Linked DNA regions of Rattus norvegicus. The protein of the gene in region 2 binds, or shares a complex with, the protein of the main gene of each other region. Links are inferred from orthologs where the notes say so. Each region holds a gene or a part of one and is shown on either strand. Other genes may lie near its edges.

Region 1 (10,279 bases), on a different chromosome or scaffold from region 2:
CTCACATTTTCGGACAGAGTCTTCAAAGCCAGTTATGCCTTCCAGGAGGTCCATGTTCTCATCCAGGGCTTGCTGTGGAAGAGACGATGCCCCGAGCATTAATTAACATGTGCACTAGCACTCCAGCATCACAAGAACCAGCAAGTGCTGCTGATGCTCCAAAGGCTGAGGCAGGAGGATCACAAGTTCCCGTCAGCAGGTGGGATCAGTCTGGATGCAGGAGGTCCTGCCCGTGTCTCTCTCTCTCGGGTTTAAGACAAGGTTTCTCTGTGTAGCCTTGGCTGTCCTAAACTTGGCTCTAAAAACCAGGTGGCCTTAAACTCAAAGAAATTCACCTGCCTCTGCCTGGCTGGGAAATTCAACAATCAAATCACAGAATGTAAATGTGTGCGCGCGTGCGCGTGCGCGTGCGCGTACGCGTGTACACACACACACACACACACACACACAGAGGCAGGTCATTGGTACATTCTCCATGGCCTCCATCTCCCTCAGCCATAGGGTTTCCTCACTACCCCTCCCACCCACCACACCTCATCTATCTTTAGGCTGTTCTGTGCCTAAAGGCTCCCTTTGCAGCTCACCCTTCACCCTCCACCCCCAAGGTTTCTACTCTCAGCAAAGCATCTTCAACGGGAGTGGGAGGAGGAGGGGCCTGCACTTCGTTGGAAGCTGTTAGTAAGATGGGAGGAAACCCAGGACCGTCCTGGAAGCCACGTGACCATGTCTGCACTGGAAACGACACCCGAAGGCCAAGTTCACTGGGGATATATCAGGAGATGGCATGGTGTATGCTGAAAGCTGGGCAGAGGGCACCACGGAGCCCTCAGTGAACACAGCAGAGTGGCTTCTAAGTCAGCAGGGGGGAGGGGACACTGAGGAAGGCAACCCACAGTCTTTGACCTGACCACTGAACATGAATTTTTGGGATGTCAGACCTTCTGTTTTGTATGTTTTCAGTAGATAATGGTCTGACTTTTCTATAGCCTTGCCTTGGATGAAGAAGGGGTGGGGCTCAAACCATGCCTCAGAGGTTCTGGCAAGCTCTGTAGGAAGGCAAAGGCTCACTGCAGACCTGGCATGATGGGGCTTGGGACCTACAGGCTTCCATCCTCCCCAGGCTCCAGGTTTTTTTTTTTTTTTTTTTTTGCTATTGTGTTTTGTCTTCTAAACATTTATTTTAGAAGGCAAGATTTGGGGCTGAAAAGATGGTCCAGTGGTTAACTTGGAGGAGGTCCTGAGTTCAATTCCCAGTAACCACAGGTGGCTCTCAACTATCTATGTTATTTTATGCCCTCTTCTGGCAAATAGGTGTGCGTGCAGCTAGAGCACTCCCATGCATAAAATAATAAATCTCCTTTAAAAAGGAAAAATTTTATATTTATGTGTGTGTGAACGTATCCATGTGAGCATGAACAGATGTGAGTGGGTGACCATGGTGGCCAGAAAAGGCTGCCCAGCAACTGTGCTGGAGCCAAACTCTGGTTCTTGTTATACAACAAAACAAAAGGCAGGGTGTTTTGCCTGCATGTGTACCAAGTGCATGGCCAGTGTACTGGCTGGTTTTGTGTGTCAACTTGACACAAACTGGAGTTATCACAGAGAGAGGAGCCTCCCTTGAGGAAATGCCTCCATGAGACCCAGCTGTAAGGCATTTTCTCAATTAGTGATCAAGGGGGGAGGACCCAGCCCATTGTGGGTGGTGCCATCCCTGGGCTGGTGGTCTTGGGTTCTATAAGAGAGCAAGCCAGTAAGTAACATCCCTCCATGGCCTCTGCATCAGCTCCTGCTTCCTGGCTTGTTTGAGTTCCAGTGCTGACTTGCTTCTTGGTCATGATGTACTTTTTGTGCAGGAAGAGAAACCCGACTAAGACAGGCAATGTCCATGGAGGCCAGAAGAACACGATGGGTCCCCTAGAACTGGAGTTACAGATGGTTCTGAGCCACTGCTCTTAACTGCCCTGGTCTGGAGCTCTATCCTCAGCCTCCTAAGCTCTGGAACTCAGGCAAGGGCCACCAACCCAGCTTAGCTTTCCCCTGGGCATCTGTCCATGTGAAGGCTGGAAAGGCAGAGAGCTCGGATGGATAAGAGAGGGTTTGCTTCTAACTAGGGACTCAACACAAGGGGACAGGGTGAGCCTCAGCCACGTGGGTCAGTCATGGCTCTATGTGAAGCCCTGAGCACAGAGCCTGGGACCTTGGCTGACACTGCCTTTGCTTGTCTGAGACAGCTCTCATGCAGCTCAGGCTGACCCCAACTCTGTACAGCTGAGGTGGCACCGAGCTTCTGATTCTCCCACCCCCACCTTCTAGACTTACAGTGTACACTAGTGTGCCTGGTCTTAGGAAGTGCTGGGTGGGGATGGCCCCCAGGGCTCCCCACATGCTAGACATGTACTCTAGCATCCCAGCCTGCACCCTAAAGACATTACCCAGAAGGCTTGAAAGTGGCAGGTCTCCAGCAGGTCCCCGAGGTACAAGATCTGTCGGATGGGCCGCTCTTCTTGCTGGAATCAGGAAGCATTAAGGAAACAGTGCGGGAAGCCATAGGTTTAGCTCAACCCTCTCTTCCTATCTCCTAGCTCCCCAGCCCCCCAAAAGAACTGGGAACTACGACTGGGGGTGCAGTTCAGCAGCACAGTGCCTGAGTACTTGCCTCCTACGTGTGAGGGCTTGGGTTCCATCCTCAGCACCACAAAAAATACCCACCACTTGGGAGACAGAGGCAGCTGATCTCTGTGAGTTCAAGCACAGCACGGCCTACACAGCAAGTTCCAGGCCAGCTAGGGTGATAGAGCAAGACCCTTTCTCAAAATACATGAAAAGAAAGAAAAACTCTGAGGTAACAAGATGGCCCAGCAGGTAAAACCGCAGCGTAAGCCTAAGGACCTGAATCCCTGGTACCCACAGGAGGAAGGGGAGAACTGTTACTCCAAGTTGTCCTTTGACCTCCACGTGTACTCCCAGACATGGGAGCACCATGCAGCATCCAGGGACTGGCCCAGCACTCAGGGCATGCACAGAGCCCTCTACCCGCCCTGCTTCCCAGCCTTCGCATGCTGCTGCAAGGATACATGTGCCTGGTCGATCATACATTTACACAGAGTGAAGTCGGTGTGGGGCAGGTTGGTGAGGGCTTTCAGCAGAATCTGGGCAGTGACTGTGGTCTGGAAGAAGGCTGGGTTGAACTGGTACCTGAGGACAGTAAGAGACATAGCAGCTGTGGTGTCTTGCAAAGCTGGCTGTAGTGGTACGAGACTGCAACCTTAGGACCCAGGCTGGTTACAAGTTTGAGGGTCATCTGGGCTGCTTTTATACAAATGGGTAAAATGATAGCCTGTATATGCCCCTTGCTACACGCTAGACCCTGCTAGGAATGTGTGAGCCCCAACACCCACTGTCTTTTCTATGCAACCTTAATTTCTCCAGTGCACTTCCCTGCTCTAGACACCAGATACAGTGAGAAGCAGACTTCTGGAGTGGGCATTCCCACTCTGAGCCAGGCTGCCTCTGTGCAGCCCCCGCCCCATCCTGTAAGAGGGGAGGCTACCACACAATGAACACTCAAGGTGCAGCCATCATCTCCAGCAAATATGTTAACCCCATTTTACAGATGTGAAAGCTAAGGCTACACAAACTGGTGCCTACAAATGGCAGAAGCAGAGGCAGGTGGACCACTGTGAGTTCAAGGCCAGACTGGTCTGCATAGCAAATTCCACAGCCAACAACCACACAGCGAGAGACCCTGATTCAAAAACAAGACACCGAAACACACCAAGCTATACAGCAGGTGGTGTGTCAAGAAAGCACCGGAGGGGGGTTGGGAATTTAGTTCAGTGGTAGAGCGCTTGCCTAGCAAGCGCAAGGCCCTGGGTTCGGTCCCCAGCTCCGAAAAAAAGGAAAAAAAAAAAAAAAAAAAGCAAGCACGGGAGGCATCCGGGTGTGGTAGCACATGATGCGTGTACTCGAAAGTCTGAGGCACAGGAGCCCCAGGAGTTCGAGGTCAGCCTGAGCTCTACAGTAAAGTGCTGGGTGGGTCTCAGAGAACGCAAGCCGGATGATGGCACGTGTTCATCATGACAGCACTTGGGAGGAGGAGTTCAATGTCATCTTGATAGCAAGTTCAAAGCCACTGACAGCTACAGGACCCTGGCTAAAAATAAGCAAATAAATTAAGAAAACAAGAAAAAGGACCAGAGATGGCTTAGTCAGTATAAACACTTACGGTGTAAACTCACTGATCTAAGCTAAATCTGGACTCATAAAACAGGATTCAGTGAGTTTGCCCCAGTGCTGCCATGGGGAGACGAGAAACAGAATCTTCTAGAAGTGTGCAGGCCAATCAGCATTCAGAAGCAGAAATCAGAAAGGTGGAAAGTGCCGGACATGGTGTCCTTAGTCCCAAGGCCACCCTGGTCTATAGCAGGAGTGCCAGGACTCAGCAAAACAAACCGGTGGAAAGCAAGATTGACCACTTCAGGTTGTCCTTGGACCGCCACCCTTGCCCTCACACTCATAAAACAAAATGAATTTAAAAGAATAAAATAGGGCTGGAGAGTTGGCTCAGAGGTTAGGAGCACTGGCTGTTCTTCCAGAGGTCCTGAGTTCAAATCCCAGCAACAACATGGTGGCTCACAACCATCTGTAATGGGATCGAATGCCCTCTTCTGGTGTGTCTGAAGGCAGCGACAGTGTACTTGTATATAATAAATAAATCTTTAAAAAATAATAAAATGTTTATGCCAGGTAGGCACGGCAGCCTGCCTGGCACTCCAGTCTCTGAAGATGTTACCACAGGGATGCCAAGAGCAAGCTGGTTAGCCAGACAAGCTGTGTTGGTGAATTCTGGGCTCTGACTCTGAATAAAGTGGAAGAATGATTGAAGATGACTGGTTGATATCAACCTCAAGCCACATGCATGTGTGCACACACAGCCCCTACACACACACACACACACACACACACACACACACACACACACACACACACTCATGAATATGGGTAAAGAAAAAAAATGGAAGAAGGCTGCCTCCAACCCAGAGGAAGATGCATGGTGCGGAAGAGCTTGAGCTATGTGATTACAGCAGAGCTCAAAGCAAACAGACCTGACCTAAGCTGATCTGGACCCAAGGCTGGGCCATAAGGGCTCAACAGTGGTTTACCTAAGCCAGGGATGTGATGGGGTAAAGCACATGAGCTGAGGGCCAGCGGAACTAACAAAATGGATGTTCATTTACAATAATCTGTCAAGAAACAGAGAATCGTTTATTACCCTGTATGTTTTTGGAATGGATTAAAAACAAAACAAAACAAAACAACCCCACTCAGACCCTTAGTTTACACACAAAGAGAAGTCACACCCTGCAGCTTGCCCCAGGCACCTCTGCACCAGGTTCCCTATCCAGAGTGGCTTTCTGCTAGCTAGCTCCTGGCATGAGGGTGGGGACAGACACTCACAGTTTCAGGACGGCCAGGTTGGCTTCTAGATCATAGGCATTCTCCTTGGCCTGTGTCTCCACATACCGCTCCAAGGTAGCCAAGTTCTCGGGATTGTACCTGGTAGGGTGTTAAGATGGGTGAGTACCCTGGCATGGTGGATACATGCCATTCATCCCAGTACCTAGGAGGCTGAGGTAGGACAGGAGGATTGCAAGTTTGAAGCTAGTCTGGGATTTATAGTGAAAACCTGTCTCAAAAAAGGAAGATAACTAGACAGACAGACATGGGTAAACAGAAGAGAACAACAGAGGCCAGTCCCATTATAGGACTTAGGGACCACTGTAATTTGTTAACCTGAACTCACTCTCTTCCTTCCGGCAGCTTTGATTCTAGCCATGTGGTATTCCTTTCTTTATTATTCTTTTTAATAAAGCTACATTCATTCGATCTTAAATAATTTAGTCCCATCCACTGAAACTACCTAGATAGCTGATCAACTGTACTACCTCCAGTAAGTCTTGTTCACAACATGGACCTCTGGTTAGCCCTACTTGAGCCCCGGGTCGTGTCTAAGATGCCTCCAACCGCAGCCAGTCTCTGCAGCCCCTATGTGTTCCTGAATACCTTCTCTTGGATTCCGTTCTGACCCAGTTCCACTCTCTCCTGCCTAGGTCAATACGTGGCTTGCCCTGGCCAGGCCCTGATCTCTCCTTACTGTCACTATCTGTTAAAAGGGGTTGTCGCCGGGATGGAATGGGAACCTAGGTCCAGGAACGCAGGACCTGTGGCTGTTTCCATCACCTCCGGTTCCCACTGGCCAAATAGAAATCAGTGAACATTATGTAGGATGGCCCACAAGAAGGACAGAGGAGGAAGAAACTAAGAAACATCGAGAGTCTGTGGCAGCAGAAAAGGTAAAGTTGAGGGACAAAGCTAAACTTGGAAAAACTCCGCCTCTGGAAGAGCGTGAAGCCCTAGCCACCCAGGGCTGGCTTCCCGTCTTCTCCACCCCGCTTGATCAGAGCGCGCCCTCCAGCCGAGCTCAGACCTGTCGATACCCTTGAGCAACTTGCCCACGTTTGCTCTCATCTGCTCAAACATCGCCATGACCACTGTCGCCTTCTGCAGCCCCAGCTGGAGTCGAACACCAGTTACGGTACTAAGTACTCAAGGACCGGAAGAAAAAGAAACGTGGTGGAAGCGGAATTACGTCACACCCTCTCTCTAGTTCCTACAAGGAAGGCATAGGGAAAGGCGCTTCCGGCAGCCGCGCCGGTTTTTTTTTTTTTTTGCTACCACATGATTTCCTGCTAGCAGTTGTAATTTGCGCATGCGCATTGGTCACACCTAAAAGAGACCAATACCGTGAGAAAGGTATAGTCTGCCTTACTACGCAGGCGCCAGGAGGCGGGCTAAGCTTTTCCCGGGCCGCACGAACCTTAAGCTTCCGATGCGCGTGCGCTGGAGTTGTACGGGAAAAGGAGACATAGTTCTCTGCACGCATGCGTAGCCATAAATCCCTATAGCCGCTTGAAGGCGTCCATTCTTTTCTTTGCGTTTAGTCGGGTGGGAGATGCTCTCTGAAGCCCTTCTTGTCTCCGACTTGGGTGCCTAAGATAGCATCCCGTATCCTCACTTCCTCGTTAAGTTCCAAACCCTTGTCCCCACTCGCATTCCGTGATGCTACAGTGCTCTCTGCTAGGAAGCTGGGAAGGCAAATGATACCAGCACCCGGAGGGACTACCGTGGTACAATGGAGTCTCAATCAGGCTCCGCGTAGGGACTGCTAACAAGTGTTCCACGTCTGCCACAGATTCCGTACACTTTTGAAGCGATGCAGAGACATGTGCCATGTGGGCAGGTGCCCTGAGCCCAGCTGTCACTTAGGTCACACGCATGTGTCACGAGTAAACAGTCCTCTGCTACTCATCCAGCTTTGTGCAGACCTGCGACCTCTGGCTTGACTCCAAATCTTCAAGTACTCAGCAGAGGTTCAACTGTAACCTGTGACTCCTCCCAAAATAGGAGAGTGTTGGGGAGAGGGAGCTAGGTCAGCCCAAGGTTGCATTTAAGAACTTTTGCATCTTATTTACATAGTGTCCTTCAGGGAGTAAAGGGGAGTCCCATCAGTCCCAAGGCGATCAAACTCTCAGAACCCAGGGGACGGGGGTGGAGCCCTCTGCGGAGCCCTCTGCACAGCCCTGCAGCTGGGGCAGGAAGCGAGAGTGGGGAGGGGGAAGGCCACAGCCCACAGAGTCAAGGCGGGCCCAGGACTTGTGGAGACAGAGGGTAATACCAAAGCTTGAGCCCTGAGGCCCTGTTGGCCCACTGGGCACTGGCCCAGCCCCGGCCTCCAGGGATGGCCCTTGTGGACCCTGACATCTTTAATAAGGACCCTCGAGAACACTATGATCTACTGCAGCGACTGGGTGGTGGAACGTATGGAGAAGTGTTCAAGGTGAGAAAGCCCTTCTGTCTCCTCCACCATCAAACCTGGGAGAGCTGGGTGAGGCCGACAAACAGGACTGTAAAGGAATGCCAGGCTTTGGCCTTGGTTCAGAGATGCTGGGGATGGCAAGCTATGGTGCCTGCCTGATGGCCAACTTCCCCTTTACAAGGCTCGCGACAAGGTGTCTAAGGACCTAGTGGCTTTGAAGATGGTGAAGATGGAGCCTGGTGAGAGCGGCCCCAGAAACTTCTTCCCCATCCCTGCCCTTATACTTCCTGGGCTATGGGGAACACTTCTGTAAGCCCCTGCTTGGAGCCACTTTTTCTCTCCGGCCCCTCCTCACAGATGATGACGTCTCTACCCTTCAGAAGGAGATTCTCATGCTGAAATCTTGCCGGCACGCCAACATCGTGGCTTACCATGGCAGTTACCTCTGGTGATGTCTTAACCCATCCCCCAACCCCAGCCCCAACCCCTTATTTCTGACCAGGCACCGGTAACTGGGTCCTCAGTACTAAACTACCATTTGTGACCCAGATACCCTAACTTGACCTCCAACCTGAGGACTTTCACTTTTATTTGGGGCATCCCAGTCTGATTCCCAATCTGAAATTCTGCCTTTCTTACTGAGTACCCAACAATTTAAGGGCTAATCTAGAACCTTCTTCGTTGTTGTTGTAATCAAATCTCCCATTGGCCTGCTCCCTGCCTCGTCCATTTTTACTCTGCTTCTTTAATATGCACCCTCCAATTCTTTGGCTCCCAAGGTAGTATCTCGGCTGCCCCAATTATGACATCCGTCCCTTTAACCCGGGACTCTTTGTCTTGTCTGCTTCTCCATGAGTCCTCTGCCCTGTCCCCTAAATTACTCTGGTATGGCAGTGGGGTGCCCTTGGATTGGAACCCAAAGACCTAGGTTTCAGTCAAATTGCTCTGAAACGCACACTTCCTGGTCTATCCTCAACCTCCTCTGCCATGGGAACAGGACACTCTCTGGTGGGCAGGGGGAGTGAGATAGCCCTGGGAGGTCTCATACCATGGTAATCCCTGCCTTCTTGACTCCCTATAGGCTTCAGAAGCTATGGATCTGCATGGAATTTTGTGGAGCCGGTTCCCTCCAGGACATCTACCAAGGTTAGAAAGACAAACGGACATAGGCCCCTTTCTACCACCAGTCTACCTCTCCCCTCTCTCTGTGCTTGTATCCTGGGAGCTGCCTTCCTGGCCCACATCTTACCCTGGGCCCATCCACTTGGAGGATGCTGGGGACCCTGTGATGACCCTACCCTCCAGCCCCTGTGGGTCTTGCCTGTCTTTTCCCAGGCAATAATCCCTTCCACTTCCATGTCTCTGTCTTTGCCTGGATGTCTAGGTTTTCTTGCCAAAAATTATTCCTGGGTTGTGGCATTTTTGTGTTTTCTTTCTTTCTTTCTTTCTTTCTTTCTTTCTTTCTTTCTTTCTTCCCTTCTTCCTTTCTTTCCTCTTTTTTGAGAAGGGCTTCTCACTATATAGTTCTGACTTGTCTCCAGCTTACAGAGTTCTGCCTACTTCTGCCACCCCTGGTGTTGAGATTCAAGGCATGTGATAGCATACCAGGCCTATGTCTGCATTCTCTAACTCAGATTAGTCGCTCAGATTTTTGGGCAGGCAATCAATGAATTTCTGGGTCTAGCCTGTTAGCCTGTGGTCCACCTTTCAGGGGAATATGAGTTACATAGGTCTCTCATCCCTCCTGAGTCTGTCTGTCTGTCTGTCTCTCTCTCTCTCTCTCTCTCACACACACACACACACACACACACACACACACACACACACGCTTTTTTTTTTTTTTGCTATAGTAGTGTGTTTTGAACTTAGAGTCTTATGTTTGCTAGTCAAGCACTCTGAACTATATCCCTGATACCTACCCCCATTTTTAAGTTAATTAATTTATTCTTTGGGGGTTTAATTTAAACTTAAATTAATTTATCTATTTTTAAAAACATTATAGGTATACAATGTATTATTAACACATCCCTTCAATTTCTCTAGACGCTCCCCAGCCCTCTTTTTACTTATTATTTTGTGACAGTCTCAACAAGCTACCCAGGCTGGCCTTGAACTTACGATCTCACTGCCTTAGCCTTTCAGTAGCTAGAACGACCAATCAACTGCAACCAGGCCCTACACCTCAGCCTTGTCTGAAGTTCTGGTACTCACATCTCTTATTCTGTCTAACTCCCCCTAGCCCAAAATTTCAAATGTCTGAAAAGGTCTCGCTATAGCTCGGTGGCAGAATGCTTGCCTGGTAGGATGGCTCGAGGTCCCAGCTTCCATCCGGGCAACACAAAACCTCCCCCAGAACGGGAAACTGAGGCCAATAGGCAGGAAGTGACTCACCCAACTATCGTG
Region 2 (10,211 bases):
GGCAATGTCCTCTTCCACAATTTTGGTGAGGGGACAGGGTGAGGCCAGCCTGAGAGCAGTGTTGGATCCTATTGTGATCTTGACATAGTCTGATCTTGACAGTCTGATCTTTCCTCAGTGCACAAGACCGAGGAGGAGCTGCAGGCCATCCTGGCAGCGAAGGAGGAGAAGCTACGGCTCAAGGCACAGCGTCAGAACCAACAGGCAGAGAACTTGAAGCGCAAGCAGGAACTGCGTGAGGCTCACAAGTATGCAGAGGCATGGGACAGAAAGGGCTGGGATCCTGGTCACCTGGGCAAGCTGACCCGGGACACACTTGTCCTCCAGGAAGAAGAGCCTGGCAGGCATAAAGCGAGCACGTGCAAAGGCCGATGGCGACAGTGACGCTGAGGACCCAGGGGCACCTCCAGAAGCAGTGGGGATGAGCCAGCTGGAGGAGGAAGAGGATGATGCAGAGTATTTCCGCCAGGCCGTGGGCGAGGAGCCTGATGAAGGTGGGCAGGGTCTGTACTGGCCACACCTGAGGTCCTACCTTTTACTTCTGAGGAACTTAACAACCATTTCTCTCCCTACAGACTTGTTCCCCACAGTGGCCAAGCGGAGACGGCAGGGGGGCCCTGTGGGCAAGAAGCGGCCTGGGAAGGAGCAGAGGCCTGGTAATAAAGGCCGTGGTCAGAGTGGCAACTGGCAGGCTCTGAAGCCACATGGCAGATCCCAGAGAGTCAAGACCAAGCTGGGACCCAGAGCCAGGTCCCGTGACTTGGGTCCACCATCAAGGAAAGGACCCTGAACCTGCCTGTCAGTGGGTGGACCATGTGTGGATGCCCCAGATTGGGGCCCGGAAGCTGCCCTGGGCCCCAGTGCACTCCGGTTTCCTTTCATAAAGGAACTGCCCAGTTACCTCCAATAAACCTGAACATGACACATTGAGCTTTCTCTCTGGCTGGGGTGGGGACAGCTACTAAACTGAGACAGGCCCAGCCTGGATAGTACGAGGAGGAAGCAGGCTGGGTGGGAGGGTTACTCTGGCTGTGCAGGTAGAGACTGGCTCATTACCGGCCTGCTGGGAACCCAGATGGGACCTTGGATAGCCAGAAGCTGCTGGGAAGATTAGCCAGCACTCAGCTCATTGAAGTGGGACGTGTGTTCTATGGGGCTAATTATATCCCACTCAGGACATTAAGGGAGTGGTGGGAGGGTGCTACCAGAGTTTGTAAGTTGGGGGTGGGGTTGTTTGGAGTGGTAAGGCTACAAAGTGGATACCTCCTCACTGGTACTAGGTACCCTCCAGTGGTTTGGGGGGAACCTAGCAACTTCAGAAGGGGAGTGCTCTGAAGTTCACAACTGCAAGCTTCTGTAGTCTCAGTACAGAGTCCTATGCCTACCCAGCCTTGTTTCCAAATCAGTGTGGCCCTGGTCCATCCCACCTAAAGGTAGGTTGGTCTGGTCAGTAAGGGGTCTACCAGGCTGTGTGTCACTTGTAGGAACTGGTGTATGGAAAAGGAGGAGTAGGCCTGAGGCGGGTGGCTCAGTCAGGTACTCTGCTCACAGGGAGCTTGTCCAGCCCACAGAAGTACTTGGGAGCTACTGGCAAGTACATCCGTCTTCAGGACTTCCTCTGGCTCATCCTGATTGCAGAGCTCCTCTTGGCCACAGTGGGCAAGTTTATCACCCAAGTACAGAGGCCTTCTCTGTGCAGCCAGCAGTCAGCAACATGTTCTATGCACGAACACTGCCTCTCTGGCTGCCTACTGCCACCCGCCTGAAAACTGGAGCTTGGGGATGGCTATGGGCCTGCAACCTGCTCAGCAGCAGCATCCTCTGCTTGCCTCGGTTTCAGCCAATACAAGGTGGTTGTGCACCCCTTCTTTACACAGACACCTGTCACCTGCAACCCAAGCACCTGGGCTATCGGTGCTGTCAGCTGGGTCATGGCCATCCTGAGTGCTGCCCCCCACGCTTTCTCCTACCAGAGACAGCCCAACAGACGTGGGGCAGCAGCAACAACAATCTCAATGCCTCTGTCAAGTACCTAGAAATGGGGGACGGACAGCCAGAGGCCTTCAGAGCCTACAGTGTGATCCTGGCAGGCCTGGGTGGCTTCCTGCCTCTGCTGTTCACACCAATGACCGACAGTGTCCTGGGGCTGGTGGTGCCAGGGCTCAACCACAGCCCAGAAGCTGCGTGTGGTAGTGCTGGTGGCCAATGGTGTGGCTCTCCATGCCTGCTCCTATGCGCCCTACCACATCACACAAGTGCTCCATGTGGATGCCAAGATGTGCTGGTTGGCTCACTGCCCCAATTTCTCCAATAAGGCGCAGGCTGAGCAGGAGCTGGGGCCCTTCTTTGGCTGACAATACACATCCTTGTGCCCCTGGCCGCATGCATGTACCCCTTGCTCTACATGGCTGTGGTACCCAGCATGTGCTGCCACCCATGTCATGTTGTGACAACAGATCCTAAGCAAGGGTCCTCCAGTTACCCTCAAGGCTGGTGCCTCACCAGTGCCAGCTGCCTCCCACCTGGGCAGGTCCTTTAATAAAACCATAGGCTGGGGTTGGGGATTTAGCTCAGTGGTAGAGCGCTTGCCTAGCAAGCGCAAGGCCCTGGGTTCGGTCCCCAGCTCCGAAAAAAAAAAAAACCCATAGGCTGAGGGAGGGGCCAGCTTCGCCCCCACAGGGAGACCCATGAAAACGAGCAGGACACAGTGTATTTGGAGTCTGTTTACTGGAAGCTTTCTGTCCCTGAGGATCTGGACAACAGCAGCAGGCAGCAGATGTCTTATTAATTCGTTGAAGGCCTGGGAAGAGGAAGAGAGGTGGTCAGGATGCAGGTGGGGACCTGTGATGCTGAAGGTTACCTCATACCAGGGAAGCCCAGGCCTTGCCTGCTTGGGACCAGTAGCTTCATGCCTGGCAAGGACCTTCCTTCAGACAGACCTGGCAACCACATAACAGGGCCAGGGAGAATGTGGGAAAGGTAGAAGGGTTCTTACTTGGCCCACTCGACATTGAGGATAAGATGGTCGTAGCCAAAGCCAGACACCCCTGCAATGGCACGCGCAGCATCCTCCCGGCGGTGAAAGCTGATAAAGGCAAAACCCTGTGGGCCGAGGCAGACATGGAGGTGGTGAGAAGTGGGTCAGGGGATGCCTACTCTCCAGTTACCCATCCCTCAGCCCCGTTCACCCACCTTGGACTGCCCAGTGGTCTTGTCCTTGGCCAAGTAGATTCGGGAGATGGAGCCAAAAGGCCGGAAGAGTTCCTGTAAGTCAGTCTCACGAGTGTCCTCAGACAGATTAGTGACACGGATGGTGGCATTGTCATCAGCTTTGTGGGCAGGGCAGGGAGAGGTAGCCGTGAGGAGGATGCCGTAGTCAGACCCACGCCCACAACGCAGGACTAATTACAGGGTGTCTAGGTACCACCTGCTCCCTGGGTTTTCCTACCCTCCTCACCTCTGCGGTTTGGCTGCATAGACTCCCCACGGCGGCTTGCCCCGTCCCGGAGACTAGGAGGCACATACTTCCCTGTCTTGTTCTGGGCGGCCTGCACAGGCTCCAGTTCTGGAAAGCAGCAGACAAAAGTGATATTCAGCCCACCCCTGGGGACAGGCGTCCAGCCACCCTTTGGTGACCCACATCATATCCAGGAAGCTACAACCCTTCAGAGTCTCTACTCACGACATGGACAAGGTGAGCAGGGCAGACGTGATCCGGGCTTGCAGAGCCCTCCCTACAAGCTAGAGAATACCAGCTGGCAGCAGCCTGACTATAGGATGTCCCTCAGCAACACATCCATGATAGCAAGAATCAAGTCACAGAAGGCAGTTACCCCCACAGGACATGTTAGATTTCGGTCTACTGAGCCCAGCACATATGTGGGTGTCACCTGAATGTATGTGTGCATACATACATATACACACGCACACCCAAGTTAGAGTAAGTCATCAGTCACACTTGCATCAGAATGACCACCATGCCCAAAGTTGTCCCTAGGTGATATAGGGAAAGAAAACAGTACACTACAAAAGGAACAGCTGAGGCCCCTCCCAGGCGCCCCATGCCCACACCTCCTGGCAATTTCTCCTTCTCCCCGGTAGACAGGCCCAGCTGCTCAGCCAGCTCCTTCTGCATGGGTCCTAGTGTGTCCTTGTAGGGGCAGCGGGTGGTCCAATGGTCGCCCTTGCAAATGCGGCAGGACACGATCTTCTGGCCCTTGAGCTTGTTCATTGGGTCCTCCTCCTCCTGGCAGTTCAGGTCCTGGTGGGGAAGGGATGGCTCAGAAGGGGCTGCTATGTCCTACCCACCCCACTCCCTCTGCGTTTCTCAGGTTCCAGTTTCACCCTGCTCACCTCTTTGCTAGTGATGAATGTCATGGAGACGTCATCACTGACTGTGGTAGTGGCTACATTGGGCCCTGGCGGGTCAAACTCTGAGTTGCCAAACTTCTTCCAATTCTGGGCTCCCAGGAAAAGATGGGGAGGTGAGGATGAAGGCAGGAAGGATCCCACAGTGCAGCACCCCAGACAGACAACCATTCCGGGGCTTTGACTCCTATGTTCTAGTTTCCCTAGAGGCCTTCCGTGTGGTAACAGTGACAATACCCACTTCCTAAGATAGACATGGCGGCACATGACATCACTCCAACATCTGCCAGGTGCAAACAGGAGGATCCTGAGCTGCAGGCCATCCTGAGACACAAGCTCTAAACCAGCTTGAGCTGTATGAGGCCCCATCTAAATGAATGAATAAATACATAAGAAAAGGAAAAGGGGGCTGGGGACTTAGCTCAGTGGTAGAGCGCTTACCTAGGAAGCGCAAGGCCCTGGGTTCGGTCCCCAGCTCCGAAAAAAAGAACCAAAAAAAAAAAAAAAAAAAAAAAAAAAAAAGAAAAGGAAAAGGTGCTGGTGCCGTAGCTCAGTGTGAAAAGGTGCAGTTTACTTGTTGTACTTGTAACAACCTGAGCTTGATCCCAAAGTCACACAAAAAGTTGAGCATGGGGCTCAACTGTGCCACTGCAGTTTCTGGGCAGGTCAGTAGCCCAGCTCCCATCAGGAATGAAGGAGGAATCCCCAGATCTTAGGAACCTTGAGCTAGTTAGACCTGAGGTTCATTTCCTTCCTGTAACATGGGGGCCACAAAGCCCCCTGCCTCCCTAAACTGGCGTGGGGATTGAGAAGCCATGTCGAGCTAGATGACTTGGGGGGGAGGGGTGCTTGCTCTCAGGCAGTGCTGCCCCGGCTAGACGCCCTTGCCCCCTTGGTAAGTAGAGGCTGCTCGCTTCTTCATGTAGACAAAGGAGGAAGAATCTAAGTGGGGACTCGGGAGGCAGAAGCATTCTGAATGAAGACTGTAGAGCTAAAGTCTCTCAAAAATAACAAGCCAGGAAGTGGTGGCAGTGCCTTAAATCCTAAGTCTGGGGTAAAGGCAGGTGGACCTCTGAGTTCATGGTCAGCCTGGTCTACAGAGAGTTCAGAACAGCTAGAGCTACAGAGAAACCCTGTCTGGAAAAAACAGACAAACTACAAACAGAAAAACCAAGAGGGCTGGATATGTCTCAGTACAGTATTTGTCACAGAAGTGCCCATCAGAGTTGATCCCAATGAAGATCTGAGATCAGAGGCATGTACTTATGTGGGAACAGCAAGCCCAGTCTAGTTTCTAATATAAAGAGACCATCTCAAACCAAAAGTGCGCACACCTGCGCACAAAAGGAGAAGAAAAAAAAATCTTAACTTCATCTACTCCTGGGTCCTAAACTTTCAAGGCCTAACACTAAACTTTTATTCTACATCAACAAAAAGGGGCTTCCTAAGTCCTCTGGTCAGTCCTGGGGAACACCCCCATCCCCCAAATAAGTACACTCTCACCTTCCTCCTGGCCACAGCCTTTGATGCCTTCCGGGTCTCAATTCTGAAGGTTCTGACAATCTGAAGGTGGGAAAGAGTTAGGAGTGCTTCCCGAGTCTCAGGCCTGCCTCAGCCATCCAAAGCAACACTGACACTCTTCACCACCGATCTAAGAGCCCCTGAACAAGTCACGCTGACCACATATGCCCACCTCACCCTTACCTTGAACTTCTTCCCATCTTCCTCTACCTTGTACTCAGTCACCGTCTTTATGTTCCCATTGATGACTTCCTTGGGAGGTGGCAGTGGGTCTGGAGGAAGATCACAGAAACTAACTCCTGGGTAATGGGACTGGCTGGAAAGTAGGCTTGAGAATCGGAAGGGAGAAGGGAGAAGAAGGCAGGGATGGACGGTGCTCACCTCCAGGAAGTAACTCCGGCTCTGGACTGGTGTCACCGGTGGGCAGAGGGATTCCTTTCAGGAGCTCGCTGGTGACACACTTGTCTGCCGGAGGGAATTCGGGGAGGAAGGTAAGTGAGCCACAGCGCTGGAACTTTCAAGCCAATGGCGGGGGTTGGGGTGGGGGACCGCTCCAGGGGCAGAGCGCAAAGCGAGGGTGGGACTGGCCACAAGCGGCCCTAGCCTGTGCGTGGGCATCCGGGTCTCGCAGCGGGCGGGGCCGCGCACAAGCACTCACCGTCCTCTCCCTCCTCTTCCACCTGGTCGGCCCAGCTGGGCTTCGAGCTGCGGGGACAGGAGATCGGTGAGCGGGTCCCGGGCCCCGCGCTACCTGGACCACCATACACCCCAGAGCTGCCCCCACTCGGCCTCTCTGGCGACCCCCACCGCCACCGAACACTTACTCAAAGTCGCCAGTCGGCATCTCGAAGTCCTACTCCACGCAGCTCTCAGCCCGGGTAAAGACCGGAAGCCCGTGTAGAAGAGGCTTCCGGTGCTGTGGCCGCTGCCTAGAGCGGCCAGACCGCGGTGACCACAGCGCCTCCCTGTGGACAAATGTGGACATGCATGTTTTGCGTGCCGCAAAGCGCTGGCATCCAACCTGGAAAGGGGGTCTAGAAAAGAGCTTCTAAGAGCGTTTTAAACTTTTTACTCCCTCTTTAGGCTGATGGAACTAGATGTCAGTGTCTCACTCTATAGCTAGGATAATCAGTAACTCCCCACAATCCTTCTGTCTCAACTCCAAAACGCTCATGAACATCATTCCCAGGGTGGCCTTGAATACGAGGCTGTCCTGAACCTTGTGGTGTATGTACCCCAGCTAGCCTTGAATCTTTCCACCTCATTCTAGCAAGTGCCGGGAATACGAACATGAAACCACCACACTGGAAACTGATTCGTTCTCTCCCTCCTCTTGGAGAATTAGTTTTAATTATCACCCAGTGTTAGAGGTGGAAGCTGGAAAATCATGAGTTGAAGGCCATTTCAGCTACTTTTTGGATTCCAGGCTAGCCTGTGCTACATGAGACTCTGTATCCAAAACTAAAACCCTTACTTTGTTCCCCAGGCTTGCCCCTGAACTCCCGAATGCAAGCAATTGACAAATAACTGGCATTATACCAACAAGCCTGGGGGAAAAGCACATGTATCAAGAATGCCCTTAAAAAAAAAAAAAAAGAACCAAAAAAAAAAAAAAAAAAAAGAATGCCCTTGATTTGTGTTGTTTGGATGATACCAGGACTCTGGTTTGTTGAAGAAGATATAGACTCAGACCACCTGGTCTCCTGTGCTTCCTTTTCTGTGACGCATGCTAGGTTTTATCATGCAAACTTGCGTGTGTGTTTGTACTGTGTTTGAAGACACCGTGCTTGTGCACTCACAAACCCTTATGCACAGTACACGTGTGGAGGTCAGGGGACACTTTGCAGGAGGCCTCTCCTTCCACTATGTGGGTCCTGCAGCTCAGGCCCGCAGTCTTGGCCTCCTGTTGGGGTCAATGAATCGCTTCACAAACCACATGAACACCAATCTCTGACAGACACGGACAGTTTATTTAGCGTACATCCCAGGACTGGTTGACCAAGGTCACACTCCAGATTCAGGGACTGAACCCCAAGCTAAGATCCTGCAGGGTTGTTAAGCCCCAAATCCACAAACATCTGTGCCAAGTTATTTCACCAATCAGGATTTAGGGATAGGCAGATTTCCTTGGGATCATGTCTTTGTTGTACACTTACCCTGCTCCCAATGGTTGGGGTATTCAACTGTGGCAGGGGACTTGCCTTGTCTAACATTCAAGTCTTAACTTGCCAGCCAGGGGGCTGGAGAGATGGCTCAGTGGTTAAGAGCGCTGACTGCTCTTCCTGAGGTCCTGAGTTCAAATCCCAGCAACCACATGGTGGCTCACAACCATCTGTAATGATATCAGATGCCCTCTTCTGGTGTGTCTGAAGACAGCTGCAGTGTACTTATATATAATAAATAAATAAATCTTTTAATTAAAAAAAAAACTTGCCAACCAGGATGTCAGTTATCCATGCTCATGTCTCTTTTTGCTCTCTGAGGTTGTCAGTTCCCAGGAAGGTCTTGGGAATGTAATCTTTACTCAACTCCTACTCAAAATGGAAGTCTTGTTCCAAATAGTTTCTTACACTGGTGCAGGTGTCTCTCTTATGTTGGGGTCCATCCCAGGGGCAGCTTACAAAGGCAAGTGCCATAGAAACTTATGTATGGTTCAGGAAGTGCTGCTGGGTGGCCGATTCGGGTCCAGGCTTATTGTGGGTCATGATACAAAACCGTTCTACTGACTTCTATCATGATTGATTTCCAAGGGCACAGAGCATAACAGAATACGTAATCAATCTCGGCATTAGAAAGTTTCTTAGTAACAGCAGAGACATGGGAAAGTTTCCTTATAATGGTAGGCTACCCAGGTAACAGTCACCTAGGCCCTAACATTTTATCTAGGCCTTAAAATATTTTACCTAGGTCCCAATACCTCCTTAGCTGCAAAAGCATGTCGTAAGTTCTATTCCTGCCACCTTAAACTATCTCCCATGTGAAGCTCTTATCAAGTAAATGAAGACTATAACAGATTCTCTGCCTCCAGGGACACCCATTCCAAGCTCCGTGTGTAATGGCCAATACTCCCGGCACTTAGAACTTGTATCTTGGGCTGGCCAATGACTCAGTGGGTGAAGGTGCTTTCCATGAGCCTGTTGCCGTGAGTTCAACCCCAGGACCCATCTGGGAGAAGGAGAGAACTGACTCTAGCAAGTTGTTCTCTGAGCCCACACGTATGCCGTGGTGTGTTCTCACACACTGAATTGGAGTGAAGTTCTTGTAGAATCATGGCGTCTAGGGTAAACACCAGCGTGAATAGCTGTTTTCTAGAAGCACTAAGACCTTGAAGAAATCTTGTGAGGATGTTCAAGATTCAGTCCATAGAGACTGGATTTCCCTGCGCCCAGAAAGGCCTTAATTCATCCTCAAGTGGTTCTCTTTCTTCAGTGGACCCTCAGGACCAAGAACGCCAACACGAAAGTGTAATGGAATCAGAAGAGGTCAGGCACCATCTAAGGATGGGTGGTATGGCTGTAAAAGCAGGTTGGATAATCAACTTACATTTGGCATTTACTGTCATTCTCTCTAAGGATGCAATAAACAAAATGGTCAATTCCAATGCTAGGGAGGTAGAGGCAGAAAATCTAAGAGTTTGAACTCAGCTGGGCATGATGAAACAGAGTGGAGTCGTGACTCAAGTGACAAACAGACAAACAGACTAAAGAGTTAGTTTGAGGGGTTGGGGATTTAGCTCAGTGGTAGAGCGCTTGCCTAGCAAACGCAAGGCCCTGGGTTCGGTCCCCAGCTCCGAAAAAAAGAAAAAGAAAAAAAAAAAGAGTTAGTTTGAGGTCTCTGTCCTCCACGCTGGAGAACAAAGTCACTTTAAGATTTTCTGAGGTACCTTACTGTGTTTTCTTGTGAGAAAGCTTCTCTCAGTAGCCACTAGAGGGCAGAGTAGAACAGTCAGTCAGAGAAGGAAGGAGGTTGGGGAACCAAGGAAAGAATGCCAGCTGCAAAGCGGGTTTTTAGGAAAGTGACCCACGGGGCCACACACCCGGCTGAGACAGGAGTGTTCTCTCAAGACTGAGGCCAGCCTGGGTTACAGAGCAATCCCCTGTTTGTAACAAAATAAAAAGAAAACTGGCCAGGCAGTTTTTAAAGGTTACAAAAATAAAGCACTAATAGGATTTTTTTCCTTGGAACCTAGTAGTACAACTTATGACAAATTGTATGCAAAGGTGTGACTGTTAGAAGGCTGTGTAGTGGAGGGGGGGGGCTGCATATGCCCGTCATCAGTTGAGGTAGCAGCAGTGAGCCTCCAAAGGCTGCTTGCACTACAC

Evidence for each region. The genes of interacting proteins can lie anywhere in the genome.
Region 1: Eif3g (region 2) and Eif3k share a complex: the UniProt entries of both Homo sapiens proteins name them as parts of the eukaryotic translation initiation factor 3 (eIF-3) complex. The link is inferred for Rattus norvegicus from reciprocal best matches to the Homo sapiens genes EIF3G and EIF3K.

What each region holds. Positions count from the first base shown.
Region 1 is NC_086019.1:93,390,876-93,401,154, forward strand, and holds the start of Eif3k (eukaryotic translation initiation factor 3 subunit K), read right to left. Parts: upstream 6,613-10,279; 5' UTR 6,547-6,612; coding exon 6,488-6,546; intron 5,557-6,487; coding exon 5,458-5,556; intron 3,196-5,457; coding exon 3,075-3,195; intron 2,508-3,074; coding exon 2,433-2,507; intron 1,921-2,432; coding exon of another isoform or gene 1,915-1,920; exon of another isoform or gene 73-1,914; coding exon 6-72; intron 1-5. Other genes in the region: Map4k1 (mitogen-activated protein kinase kinase kinase kinase 1), read left to right, coding at 7,799-7,897, 8,058-8,115, 8,234-8,324, 8,958-9,022. UniProt on the Homo sapiens protein: Component of the eukaryotic translation initiation factor 3 (eIF-3) complex, which is required for several steps in the initiation of protein synthesis.
Region 2 is NC_086026.1:27,703,204-27,713,414, forward strand, and holds Eif3g (eukaryotic translation initiation factor 3 subunit G), read right to left. Parts: upstream 6,744-10,211; 5' UTR 6,734-6,743; coding exon 6,714-6,733; intron 6,595-6,713; coding exon 6,548-6,594; intron 6,355-6,547; coding exon 6,271-6,354; intron 6,162-6,270; coding exon 6,073-6,161; intron 5,932-6,072; coding exon 5,872-5,931; intron 4,459-5,871; coding exon 4,354-4,458; intron 4,262-4,353; coding exon 4,072-4,261; intron 3,566-4,071; coding exon 3,458-3,565; intron 3,330-3,457; coding exon 3,193-3,329; intron 3,103-3,192; coding exon 2,996-3,102; intron 2,801-2,995; coding exon 2,785-2,800; 3' UTR 2,711-2,784; downstream 1-2,710. Other genes in the region: Ppan (suppressor of SWI4 1 homolog), read left to right, coding at 1-25, 119-248, 328-494, 576-790. UniProt on the Homo sapiens protein: RNA-binding component of the eukaryotic translation initiation factor 3 (eIF-3) complex, which is required for several steps in the initiation of protein synthesis.